2 linked regions of the Drosophila melanogaster genome follow. Each later gene encodes a partner of the first gene's protein in a complex. Each region holds a gene or a part of one and is shown on either strand. Other genes may lie near its edges. A codon is read from its position in the direction of its gene.

Region 1 (3,463 bases):
TCTATGGGCGAGCGTCTGTTAAACCTGTTGCCAAGTCTCATGCAGCCGCCACCTGCAGCCTCGCCATGCTCCACGGCTCAACGTCTTCAGCCGCCCAAGCTGCTCTTCACAACTGCTCTGCCAATGGGCAATGGCACCGTCACCATGCCGCACATCCTAACATCCAATTCGCTGCCAAAAGTGATTACCACTTCAAGTTGCAACAGCGGCGTGGCAGTGGCCGGATCAGGAGTGGGCCTAGTAGCCAGTGTGGCCCCCAAGCCGGTAGATAACGACGTCCAGTTGATTTCGCCCAAGCTGGAAAAGGAGATCTGATTAAGAGGAACTAGTCGTTATAAGTGATTGATATTAGAAACACACTTAAGTGATCTCAAAGAAATGATATTCTGGTCTTTACTTTAGTAGACTCTAAAACCAGTATCCTAATAATAAAAACCAAAGAAATCTCTCATTCTAGGGTTATTTTCATATTTAAAATGATGGGCAATAAGCAATAATTAGTCAATATTTAAATTTAATCTAGAATTTTGCGCTCTTATATATTTGATTAATAGCATACATGATTGTCTAATCTAAAACCAGATATGGCGTCTAAGAATCTTAAAAAGAAAGTTTACAAAATACGCATTAACTATTCTCCTATTACAGCAAATAAAACGAGTATATCGTGACCCTAGTAAATATTGAGCCTTTCCATATCCCGGATTTCCATGATATCCGTCTTCAGTCGCTGCTTAACGATCTCCCGCCAAATGGCTTCCCGATCCCGGTTGTCCGTCACGCCCATTCTTTGCAGTGAGGAGTCTGTGATCCGGAGTAGAGCCCTTCCGGTTATATCGTGCTGTGTACATGGAAAGAAATTAAACAAGATCAGTAGGCAGTTATAGTGATGTCTAAATTTTAGCAAAAGGTAACCGGGAATTTTCCTGTTTGTGTTTTGAGGTGCTGAAATGACGGAACTGCTGAAGGAAAACCGTTCCAACGAGGCTCGACGGTAAGTGAAGTAGATCAAGGACTACGATTTGGATTGTGGGCTCAACTCACCTGGGCGAAGAGCTGCTCATACTGGGTGTATTCACCGCAGTGGCGGCGATACCACTTGAGCACATCGCTAACTGTCCACAGGTACACTGCCTTCGGTCGCGTAGTTTTCGTTCTGGTTTTGTTTTGCGTTGAGTTAATAGTTTCTTCACCCATTTCACAAAAAACAAATCGAGAAATTTAAGATTTATTTGCAAATAGCAACAAAACAAATAGTGATGGTAGCTAGGCGATATTAATTAGGTGTGAGACAAGATATCGATTACAGTTGTATTACTGTAATGTAAATATAAAAAAATGTAAATTAGGGGTGACACAATCGGCCGATAAGTTCCCTAATCCGACTGATTTAAATCAAAGGTATAAACGATATCCTAAGAAATTCACGAGTTGTGTGCGATATATCGACAACAAGCACTAGTACGACATTCGTGGCCTATCGATGCCCGCTAAGACTCGCATATCGAAATCGCACCAGCTCTAATCGTGACTGGCGCTTAATAACAACGACCGAAAGGTGAAAAAGTCAGCATTAAACACGTAAATACGCAATCAATACACACCGGAAACGATCGAACACAAAGAAAAAATTGTCGCATTGCTAGTAGCTGAGTTGAGACAAGCTTAGTTGATTGATTGATTAGTAAATTTTTGAGTTGAGCGCCCCCACATCTCATCTCGTCTCGTCCGAACACAAATTTCAAGTCGCAAGATGGCCGGAGCAACACTTTTCGAGCGTGCCCAGGCATTGTCCAGCGTGAATCGCGAGGAGCAGGATAGTTCGCTGCTGAACAAACTGGTCCGCGACCAGGAGGGCGCCGAGAACGATGAGGAGCGCATCCGAATCAAGGAGCAGGGCATTCTGCAGCAGGGCGAGCTCTACAAGCAGGAGGGCAAGGCCAAGGAGCTGGCCGATCTCATCAAGGTGACGCGTCCGTTCCTCAGCTCGATCAGCAAGGCCAAGGCGGCCAAGCTGGTGCGTTCGCTGGTGGACATGTTCCTGGACATGGACGCGGGCACAGGCATTGAGGTGGGTTCTTTTTTCACTCATTGACTACTAGAATTTACTAGAAAATTCTTTGTTCGATCTCTAGGTTCAATTGTGTAAAGACTGCATTGAGTGGGCCAAACAGGAGAAGCGCACATTTCTTCGCCAATCGCTGGAAGCTCGTCTGATTGCCTTATATTTTGATACTGCTTTGTACACGGAGGCCTTGGCTCTGGGTGCCCAATTGCTGCGCGAGCTGAAAAAGCTGGATGACAAGAATCTGCTGGTGGAAGTGCAGCTGCTGGAGAGCAAAACCTATCACGCACTGAGCAACCTGCCCAAGGCTAGGGCCGCCCTCACCTCAGCCCGCACCACGGCCAATGCTATCTACTGTCCGCCAAAGGTGCAAGGCGCACTGGATCTTCAGTCCGGCATCCTACATGCGGCTGATGAGCGTGACTTTAAGACCGCATTCTCCTATTTCTACGAGGCCTTTGAAGGATTCGACAGCGTGGACAGCGTCAAGGCCTTGACCTCGCTTAAATACATGTTGCTGTGCAAAATCATGTTGGGACAGTCCGATGATGTCAACCAGCTCGTCAGTGGAAAGCTGGTAAGTTATTAAGTGCAGTCCGAAATAAGTTTGCGTCAGCAGTTGTAATGTTCTACATATACATATTATGTAAATGAATTATTATCTAACAACCAAATTGTTGTGTAGATTTAATCAATTTATCTTACAAATATAATTGTCATTACCAGGCTATTACCTATTCGGGCCGCGATATAGATGCTATGAAATCAGTGGCTGAGGCTTCACACAAACGTTCCCTGGCCGACTTCCAGGCTGCCCTCAAGGAATACAAAAAGGAGCTCGCCGAGGATGTGATTGTGCAGGCGCATTTGGGCACGTTATACGACACCATGTTGGAGCAAAACTTGTGCCGCATCATTGAACCCTACTCTCGTGTGCAGGTGAGATAGATTATAACGTCTTGGCTTGTTTGCCCTCACTAAAATCTGTTTTTTTCCTATTGGCAGGTCGCCCATGTTGCCGAGAGCATTCAGCTGCCCATGCCGCAGGTGGAAAAGAAGCTGTCCCAAATGATCCTGGACAAAAAGTTCAGCGGCATTCTGGATCAGGGTGAGGGAGTACTGATTGTTTTCGAAGAGACGCCCGTGGACAAGACCTATGAACGCGTGCTGGAAACCATACAAAGTATGGGTAAGGTGGTGGACACACTGTACCAGAAGGCTAAGAAGCTGTCGTAAGCGGTGTGCAGGAGACATTATTCAACTCAAACATGATATCAGCATACTTAGCAGACTTTTCATAGTTTCCTTTTGTATTTTCCAACAACTCCCAAGCATTGTTCAAGCCAAACATGTTTTATGTTTCTGCAAAAGCAAAATGAATTGGTGAAGATAGCAACA
Region 2 (8,077 bases), 2.7 Mb from region 1:
TTTCGTGTAATTGTGTATATATATATTTCTTGCATTCCGCTACAACATTTCTGGCTCCATTGGCGTCGCTGGATGCCATTACAATAATATCTCATTTCGCATAATAATATATGTATATTACACGCAATCTAGACACAAACTGTTGAGCAAATCAAACAGCTCGGATTAACTTGGTTAATCGCGTACAAAGGCAAATCATAAAGAACCGTCTTTGTTCGATGCACAGACTTCTAAAGTTATTCTCCATTTTCGCTATAATTCATTGTTTTGCTTGCGTGACTACATGTGTAAAACATTTTGCCTAGAACCGAAATACAATGCAAATAAGGCAGATTAAACATTTACATCTAAGTGGGTTTCGAATCGAAGGGATTGCAGGTATGCGTGTGTTTGTTTCTGGTGGACAGACAGGGAAGACGATCAAAATGAACAAGTTGTATACCTAAATCGTACGAGAATATCGCTATATATAATATATATATATATATCTATATGCGTGTGTATAAATACATAAGTAAACGGGGGCTAATCCCCGCGAGCATTCACAATAGTTTTCATCACACATCTAGGTCTGATGGTGTTCGCCGCCACTGGGACTGCTGTTGGTGTTGGTGTTGTTATTGGTGTTATTATTGTTGTTGTTGTTGTTGGTGGTGGTGGTGCTGGCGGTGGCACTGGTGGCACCACTGCTGCTGGGCGTCCGCATCACGATGCGGGACAAGCTGGTATCGCTGAGCGAGTAGATTTCCGGCTCAAAGACAGGCGGACACTCCATATTTGGATAGTCCGGCGTTGCCGCCTTCGAATCCACAGATCCCGAACTGGACACTTTTGGGGTGGCCGCACACTCTGATATCGTTGCCTCCGCTTGCTCCTCCTCTCTCTGCCTGCTGGTGTTGACGGGAGGCGGTGGCGCTGGGGGCAACGGCGGCTGCAAGCCCTCCGACGAGCACAAATTAGTGGTCGAGGTGGTTAGTATGCCAGGTCCACGGTAACTTCGATATCCCGCCTGATTGTGCGTGGGCAGGGTGATTTGGGAGAAGATCTCCTGATCGCAATCGGGATCCGCACTGCTTGGTGGCGTTACTGCCTGCTGCTGATGGTGATGGTGCCCGAACAGCGTGCGATGCAGCAGCGGTGAGCCCAGGAAACGATTCTCCTTGGAGGGCTTCGCCGGCGTGCCACCCGATATGGAGAGTTTCGAAAAGATTGGTATCGGGGCCGAGTTCTTGCGATGCGCATCGTACTTGGTGCCCACTATCTTGTCTCGCAGATCCTGATTGTACGTCTGGCTTTTCTTGATGCTGCTGCCGCTGCCGATTATGGTGACTCCATTGCCTACGGCTCCATCCAAGGCGTGATTCGATTTGGACTTCTTGTTCAGCGGCAGCGTCATAGTCATCGCATGACCCGGCCCACAGCCACTGCCCGCGGAGCCAGTTGAGTGCTTGGAAAAGGGAAACCGACGATCGCCGCTAGACTTTCCTTTGGACTTCTTTTGATCCGCACCGGATCCGGAACTCTTGCCGCTGCCGCCGCTGCTGTTCTTGTGCAGGAAACTGGAGAGCTGTAACTGCTGTGAGCGCAAGAAGTGCTTGGCCTTGCTGCTATGTTGCTGCTGCGTCTGCTGATGTTGTAGCTGCTGCTGCTGTTGCACATGCTGCAGGTGGTGCTGGTGATGATGATGATGATGGTGGTGCTCTTGCCGGCTGATGGAGCTAGTGCTCGGCTCATCCCCACATATCAGCTCGTAACCAAAGTCGCGCAACTTCTGACCTTCCTTAGTTCTGGTTCTCTTAATACTCTCGTCGTCAGGCTTAAAACTGATCTCGTAGTCGGGTGTTTTGGGCAGACTCACGCTCTGGATCTTGGGCAACTTTTCCAGCGGCTTTGTCACGCTGCTGCTCATGGCGCTCTGCTGACTGGCCGTGGATTCCGTCCGTGCGTGCTTGTGCTTCTCCACACCCAAGTGCACTCGATTGTTGTACATTTCCTGGGCCTCCTCCTCCTGTTTGCGCAGCATCAGATCCTTAAGCGTCACAAAGCCCTGTATATTATGGCCATGGTCGAGTGTATTACCCACACTCATCTTGGGGAGTAGTGTTTTCGAGGTATGGAAATCGAATTCCACCAAATTCGGATTTGAGGCGTGCAAGAAGTTGAATGGTGCCTTCTTCAAACTCGACTTGCTACTGGGACTCTGGCTCTGGCTCTGACTTGGACTCTCCTCGGAGCTCTGATGCTGCAGCGATGTGGGAGTGGCTGTAGGCGTGGGCGTTGGCGCTGGCGACGCGGGCGGACCCAGAATCGAAGCAGATAATGATACGGCAGACTCGGTTCCACTGACCACCGAACTCCTACTTGAGCTACGCGACAGTTTAGGACCCACCAAAGGTGGAATCTGTGTCGGCGGCATTGCGGGATCATGGTAGCCCGGTGTATTGGCACCAATCTGAATGCCAAAACTTCCGCCTGGCACCTTCCTATAGCTGCGGTATTGCTCCGTTGGCACAGGGATGTCGCTCGACGGTTTCGCTGCACTGCTCTTGAATGTATTCGTAAATTTGCGAAACGAGTCCAAGTAGCCGCGTTCATGCTTAATGGGTGCAGAGGAAGGTGGTGTTCCGCCAGATAGTGTCATCGACATGGACATTGACTCCTTGTTGCCTTGCGGCGAGGGCGTGCTTAAATTCTGGATCACAAGGGCATCGCATTCCTCGCCTGAGCTATCGTTCTCCGAATACAAATCCTTTGCGTCACCACCGCCTTTTGAACCCGTACTAGGCGGCACTTTGAGCGAAGCCTGGCGCAAGAAGTCCACCCATTGGTTAAGTGCGTCCAGCGACTCGGCCGCAAAGTAGAAGCTCTTGGCCGTGTGGTAAACTTTAAAGGCATGCGGTTTGGAGTGCACTTCTTTTGCCAATGAAACCGTAAAGCCCGGTAAAAATATTACCAAGCTGGCGCTGGTACTCTGCTTACTGCGAAATCCGTACAGTATCGTATCCAGCATCACGAAATAGATTCTCGCCCAGTAAGTCACTCCGCGATGATTTTTCTTGCGCCTGTACAGATGACCTTGGATATCCCCAGTCCCCAACAGCTTGAGATTTGTGTTCCGCCGCTTGGCCATTAAGCTGTGCTTCTTTTTAAGGGTCAGTGTCCGGGATTTGCTGGGCGTATGAAGCTCACTGATCTCCGATGGATCAACTGCGGCTGGTACAGGTACTGGCACGGGAATGGAGATACTGGTGATACTACTAGCCGGCTGCATGCTGGCTGGTTTTGGTGGAGGTGGAGGCACCGCCGGTGGCGTCATTTCCCTTTGCTTGCGGGGTCGCGGTGGCGGTGCTGGCGGTGTGACAAGCAGGAACTCCTTTCTTGGCTCAATCGCTGGCGGCGTATCCGATTCTTCACCCGAATTATCGTATGCCGGAGTACTATGACTCTTGTCTAATCGGCCCCTTCGACCTTGCTGCAACAAAGGCATGTTAATGGCCTCGGCCAGGGGCAAGTCCTGACCTTTTGTAGCCAGATTAATTGCCTCTAGGAGCTCCTCTGCGTTTTCTGTTTTGCAGTTGCGCAGCGTTTCCAAGGCGTCCTCGTCTCCCTCATCCGCAAAGGGAATCGGTTCAAAGGTCTCCAGTATGGTGTTCTCAACGTTACAGATAAATTTTTCATTCTTCATCACATAATCTTCCTTGGCGTCGAACCGAACTACTTTGCTGACACCCGGCTTGTAACGATCCACGAGGAATTCGCGCTGCGAGTCCTCCGTCAGCTGCTTTAGTTTTCGCGCCTCATGAAACATTCGCCTGGCCTTGTCCGTGGAGGTATCGCCCGCAATCCCAATGCAAGTGGTCGGCCTTGCTGCCATCTCTAGGCCATAACCGAAGGATATCGACTTATCCCGTATACTGGGCGAGCCAGGGTCGCAATTGGTGGGCGAACCAATTCCTGGCTTTCTTTCGTGCCACGATGGAACGACTAGATCCGAGTTTTTCAGGCTAAGATACTCGCATCCACAAATAGTGTTTCTTCGTTGGAGCAAAGCTCTTGGCTTTGGGTAATACAAACGGATCTCCCGTGCGGCTAGCTTGGGATCCGTTGGTGTTGGAATATCACTGCAACTGGAATCAGAGTCGGAGGCAGAGGACACTGGATTGGCCTTGGTAAGTACCTCCCTCTTCTCACTGCTTAGGGATTTACTGGGATCTGGCACCGCGCTTCCTGTTCCTCCTGTTGCCAGTTGCTCCGTGTCCAGGGTTAAAAATGCAGCACGGGGACTTGGCATCTGTGCCGCCCAGCGGGCGGCCATATTCCTCTTCTTGCTGGGCAACCTGTACGGCTGCATATAGATCTGTCCAAACATCTTTGTGTGCTTCGGCCGTTTCTTCACCGTCAGCACCACATCTGGAAGTGCTTCCCTCAGATGCTCCAGTACTGTGCGATGCTGCCAGCCCACAACGGTCTGGTAGTTGATCTGCACAATCTCGTCGCCATCTTCGATTTTTCCGGAATTGTGAGCTGGCGAGTTGTACTTGATATCCGTGACACGGTGAATGCCATTATAACTGGACTCTATGTTGAAACCCAACTCGGATTCGCGTTTTTTAAGGGTGACAAGGTTCAGAGAGGCTGGCTGCAGTACCATGGGATCAGATATGTCCTGGATTACAAAGTTGGCAAGATTCTCGAGCCGTTCCGCTGACTGTCGAATCGCTGGCACCGGCTGCAGGGCAAAACGATCACGGTGGGCAATTGTGGCCAGCTCCAGGCCGCATTTGAGCACATTGCCACAATACTCGCGGTACATCTCCTGCTTACGGAACGGTGTTCGCTCCAGGCTGCCCACCAATGGCTTTAGAGTAGCTATCGTCCTGGTAATATCGTGCAGTATCCGGGTATCGATCTTAGTGCTCTCCGCATGATTCCTGGCCAGTTCGCGATGCAGATTCTTAGCTGCCGTGGCCACATGCAAGGCCATGAACTGCAGATTGTCGTTTTTCAGGTGATAATGCTGGAATATCAAGCTCAATTAACGGGTTTGTATGTCACAATATTTGTTTGGGGTCTCACGAAGTTTCTTAAGTTCTCCACCGCCTCCAGCACGATCTCCTGATGGCCAATGCGCAGCATGCCCAGATTCTCCAGCTCGTATGGCCGTATGTTGAGCAACGCCCGTCCGCCGATCTCCTGCTTGGAGAACTCGTACAAATACCCCTTCATAGACTCATCCAGACCTGCGAGAATCAGGAAAACATAATTATTATGATGTGCCTGTTGAAACCTTGAACAAAGCGGAAATTCTTGTTGCACTTGTTGTTGCTGCTGCTTTTTGGGGCAGTGGCTGCGAGATGCAGTTTTTTTTTTCTCAGCTGCGCTTTCCTTGACCTCGAGCATTACCTTTTATCCAGTCGGTGACCTGGTCGGGCGTCCACTCGGCGATGTTGATGTAGGCCATCGCTGCTGCTGCTGATGATCCGCGCTGGGCCGCACCTACGGCATATTATCAATTCGTGCTGCAAAAACACTCGAACCAAGTTCAGAATTGCTATATTGTTGCGTCTCTCTGGTCCGGAGTGACCATCTTTTAGAGCTCGAACAATACTCGGTGCTCGTTAAATACTATCGAACTAGCGTGGCAATCGATTATTTAATGCATTTTAAAACTGAACAAAATGCAATTTATTCAAAGTTTCTTTAAGGGACAGAACAAGAGGAAAGAAAACTATAAATTATGATACTACTACATACTACTTTCTCCATCCAAGATAGCCAGGAAACAGCCACATGTTTCTGTATGTGTTTATTTTTATAGTCTTAATTAATATGAATTTGGCTTGCAGTGCAAGAGAGTAAGAGTAACAGTTATCGATAGAGGACCAACAAAAAATAATCGAATTGGTAATTGTCTCATGTTGATATATTTTCCGAGCACTACCGCTATTTACAACCTTTTATTTGTTAGTACCTAAAGATCATGTTGTAAGCTAATCTTTTAGAAACCACAAAGTTTTATGTAAAATATTCACTTATATTGACACAAGCTCGAAGTAATAATTATCAAACATTTAAAAACCCCGCTTCGGATTTAGCCATTCACATTCGAATTTACTGCAACCCAACAGCCAACAGCGCTTCGCAACACTGTCGCCGCCCCAATCAAACAGCTGAGCGCCTTGCGAATGGAATTGAATTGCCCCAAAACATATAAATAAATGCCTCAATGACAGCATCAAATGGAGATAAACAAGGCAATGAGCGTCCCTCCGCTCCAGTGCCTTTCCCCAGCTGACAATTAGCACTTTACTTGACCATTCAAGCTCGGGTAGATGTATACATATGTATGTATACGAAGGCGGCGCACGTTTTTCCAACGCAATGCCTTCAGAAACGAATCAGTCACTTGCTCGGAGAGGGAGAGGCACGACGAAGTAAATCACCGCGTGTTTTTTTCTAATCGCTGCAACTGGCTGCTGCAATCACTATTCTCTTGTCGAAATGTCTGTGACCCAGACGAAACAAATCAAGTTCTACAACCCATCGAGTTCCGCTAGCTCCGACAGGTAACGAACGACTTTTTAATGCCGCATTAATTCACGCACGGCCAAAAGTAAAGTGTGAAAATCCAACAGAAGTCATTAGAATGTGATACACACTCACACACACACCCGCGCACAAACATATCTAAAGAGCATGTGCTCCAAGTCATTCATCGTATGTACGTACGTACCTACTTACATGTGTGCGTCGTGGGGCCTCTAATCACGCAATATAAATAAATGCTGGGAAAATGGCATAGGGCCTGCGTTCGCAAACACCACTACATGTGCAAACGCATAACATGTGATAAATTCAATTTCGATATAGTCGCCGGTTGCATCGGATCGGAAGAGAGTGTGAGAGAGAAGGCAAAGCGAACACCCTGCGAGAACAGTTACAAGCTAGGGATGGGCGCGTCAGCGAGTAACTTGTAATGTTGCAGTTTGAAAAAATAATATTCATACCACAGAAACATTATTAAAATAACTTTGGTGCGATCCGTGGAATGCTATAAAAAATTACTTGTGTATAAGTATATGTAGCGTGAAATATTTTATGATTTTATGCGCCTAAAAATTAGAATATTTTTTTCTCTAACAAATTAAATATCCTTCACTTAACAAAAGTAAAAGAGACATTTGTTATGCAAATTTGGCTAAAATGTAGAGCACATCTTCGACTGAGTCGTGTCACGCCAAACCTCATGTACCACATGCCCACCTCTATGAAGGCTTGCGACAACAACAATGCAGAGACGACGCCGGCAGAGGAAACCGCAGCGCAGCGCAGCTTTTTAACCTTAGCTGCCTTAACACTTTTTCTTGTCATTCAATCCCCAAACGCCGCTCACCTCGCACTTCTCGCTACACCTTTGGCTTAATTTTTTGTTTTCATTAGTTATCGAATAAATATTGGCCGCAACGCAAAAGGTGAATCGCTGCGTACGAAATAAAAACTCTAAATCACATGTGATCCACGCCGGCGGCGATTCGCGTGAGCGTTGTGTGAGTGAGTGACCCATTTTGGCTTGGCATCGCCGGTTGCTGTGTTCTTGCTGCCTCCACATCCAAGTTCTCACGCCCACGCCGACGGACTGAGTGATTCAAAATCGCTGGCAGATCGGGATCGGGCTAAAAATGAGCAGCATCACGTTTTTGTGCAGCAAGTCGGGCCACAACACCAACAACAACAGCATTAATAGTAGCAATAACGATGTTCCAAAAGGGGCAAAAGCGAACTCAGCATTTGCAGCCGCATCCGCCGGTTTACTAACCATCGCAAACCACCAGCAGCAACAGCTACTTCAGCAACCACATCAACAGCAGCAGCAACAACAACAACAGCATCATCAGCAGTCAAAGGTTAAGGCTATAGCAGCCAAAACCAATGGTCACATGTAATTCATTGCATTTTCCCCATTTCTTAACGTAAAAACCAATCGAAGTCCCATTTTACATACCAGACGTTCATATATGTATGTTTGTACATTCATTTGTAGAGAGGCATATTTGTGTGTGTGTGTTTGTATTTGAGT

Evidence for each region. Proteins that work in one complex are often made in the same cells at the same time.
Region 2: the proteins of ave (region 1) and cnk are in contact, whole or in part, in a crystal structure (PDB 8BW8), measured with the Drosophila melanogaster proteins. Residues at the interface, in NP_725413.1 of Drosophila melanogaster: Tyr24 (codon at 1,128), Gln51 (codon at 1,047), His52 (codon at 841), Asp53 (codon at 838), Ile54 (codon at 835), Arg57 (codon at 826), Ala58 (codon at 823), Arg61 (codon at 814), Ile62 (codon at 811), Thr63 (codon at 808), Ser66 (codon at 799), Arg69 (codon at 790), Met70 (codon at 787), Glu79 (codon at 760), Trp82 (codon at 751), Arg83 (codon at 748), Val86 (codon at 739), Lys87 (codon at 736), Arg89 (codon at 730), Leu90 (codon at 727), Lys91 (codon at 724), Asp93 (codon at 718), Ile94 (codon at 715), Glu96 (codon at 709), Ile97 (codon at 706), Arg98 (codon at 703), Met100 (codon at 697), Glu101 (codon at 694), Leu103 (codon at 688), Asn104 (codon at 685); in NP_001286524.1 of Drosophila melanogaster: Pro47 (codon at 5,160), Glu51 (codon at 5,148), Leu56 (codon at 5,133), Arg57 (codon at 5,130), Ile58 (codon at 5,127), Gly59 (codon at 5,124), His60 (codon at 5,121), Gln61 (codon at 5,118), Glu62 (codon at 5,115), Leu65 (codon at 5,106), Glu66 (codon at 5,103), Glu69 (codon at 5,094), Lys110 (codon at 4,912), Ile111 (codon at 4,909), Asp112 (codon at 4,906), Thr113 (codon at 4,903), Leu116 (codon at 4,894), His117 (codon at 4,891), Ile119 (codon at 4,885), Thr120 (codon at 4,882), Arg121 (codon at 4,879), Ile123 (codon at 4,873), Lys127 (codon at 4,861), Val130 (codon at 4,852), Glu134 (codon at 4,840), Arg139 (codon at 4,825), Arg145 (codon at 4,807), Cys148 (codon at 4,798), Gly149 (codon at 4,795), Leu152 (codon at 4,786).

Annotation. Positions count from the first base shown.
Region 1 is NT_033778.4:14,750,324-14,753,786, reverse strand, and holds ave (aveugle), read right to left. Parts: upstream 1,267-3,463; 5' UTR 1,198-1,266; coding exon 1,045-1,197; intron 995-1,044; coding exon of another isoform or gene 951-994; exon of another isoform or gene 877-950; intron 842-876; coding exon 674-841; 3' UTR 518-673; downstream 1-517. Other genes in the region: CG10151 (uncharacterized protein), read left to right, coding at 1-315; Rpn6 (regulatory particle non-ATPase 6), read left to right, coding at 951-994, 1,747-2,071, 2,136-2,642, 2,792-3,004, 3,071-3,301. UniProt on the Drosophila melanogaster protein: Required for normal photoreceptor differentiation between Ras and Raf for EGFR signaling in the eye and for mitogen-activated protein kinase phosphorylation. Probably acts together with Cnk to promote Raf activation, perhaps by recruiting an activating kinase.
Region 2 is NT_033778.4:17,414,008-17,422,084, forward strand, and holds the start of cnk (connector enhancer of ksr), read right to left. Parts: upstream 6,001-8,077; 5' UTR 5,462-6,000; coding exon 5,404-5,461; intron 5,241-5,403; coding exon 5,077-5,240; intron 5,018-5,076; coding exon 566-5,017; 3' UTR 1-565. Other genes in the region: l(2)k01209 (lethal (2) k01209), read left to right, coding at 7,680-7,939.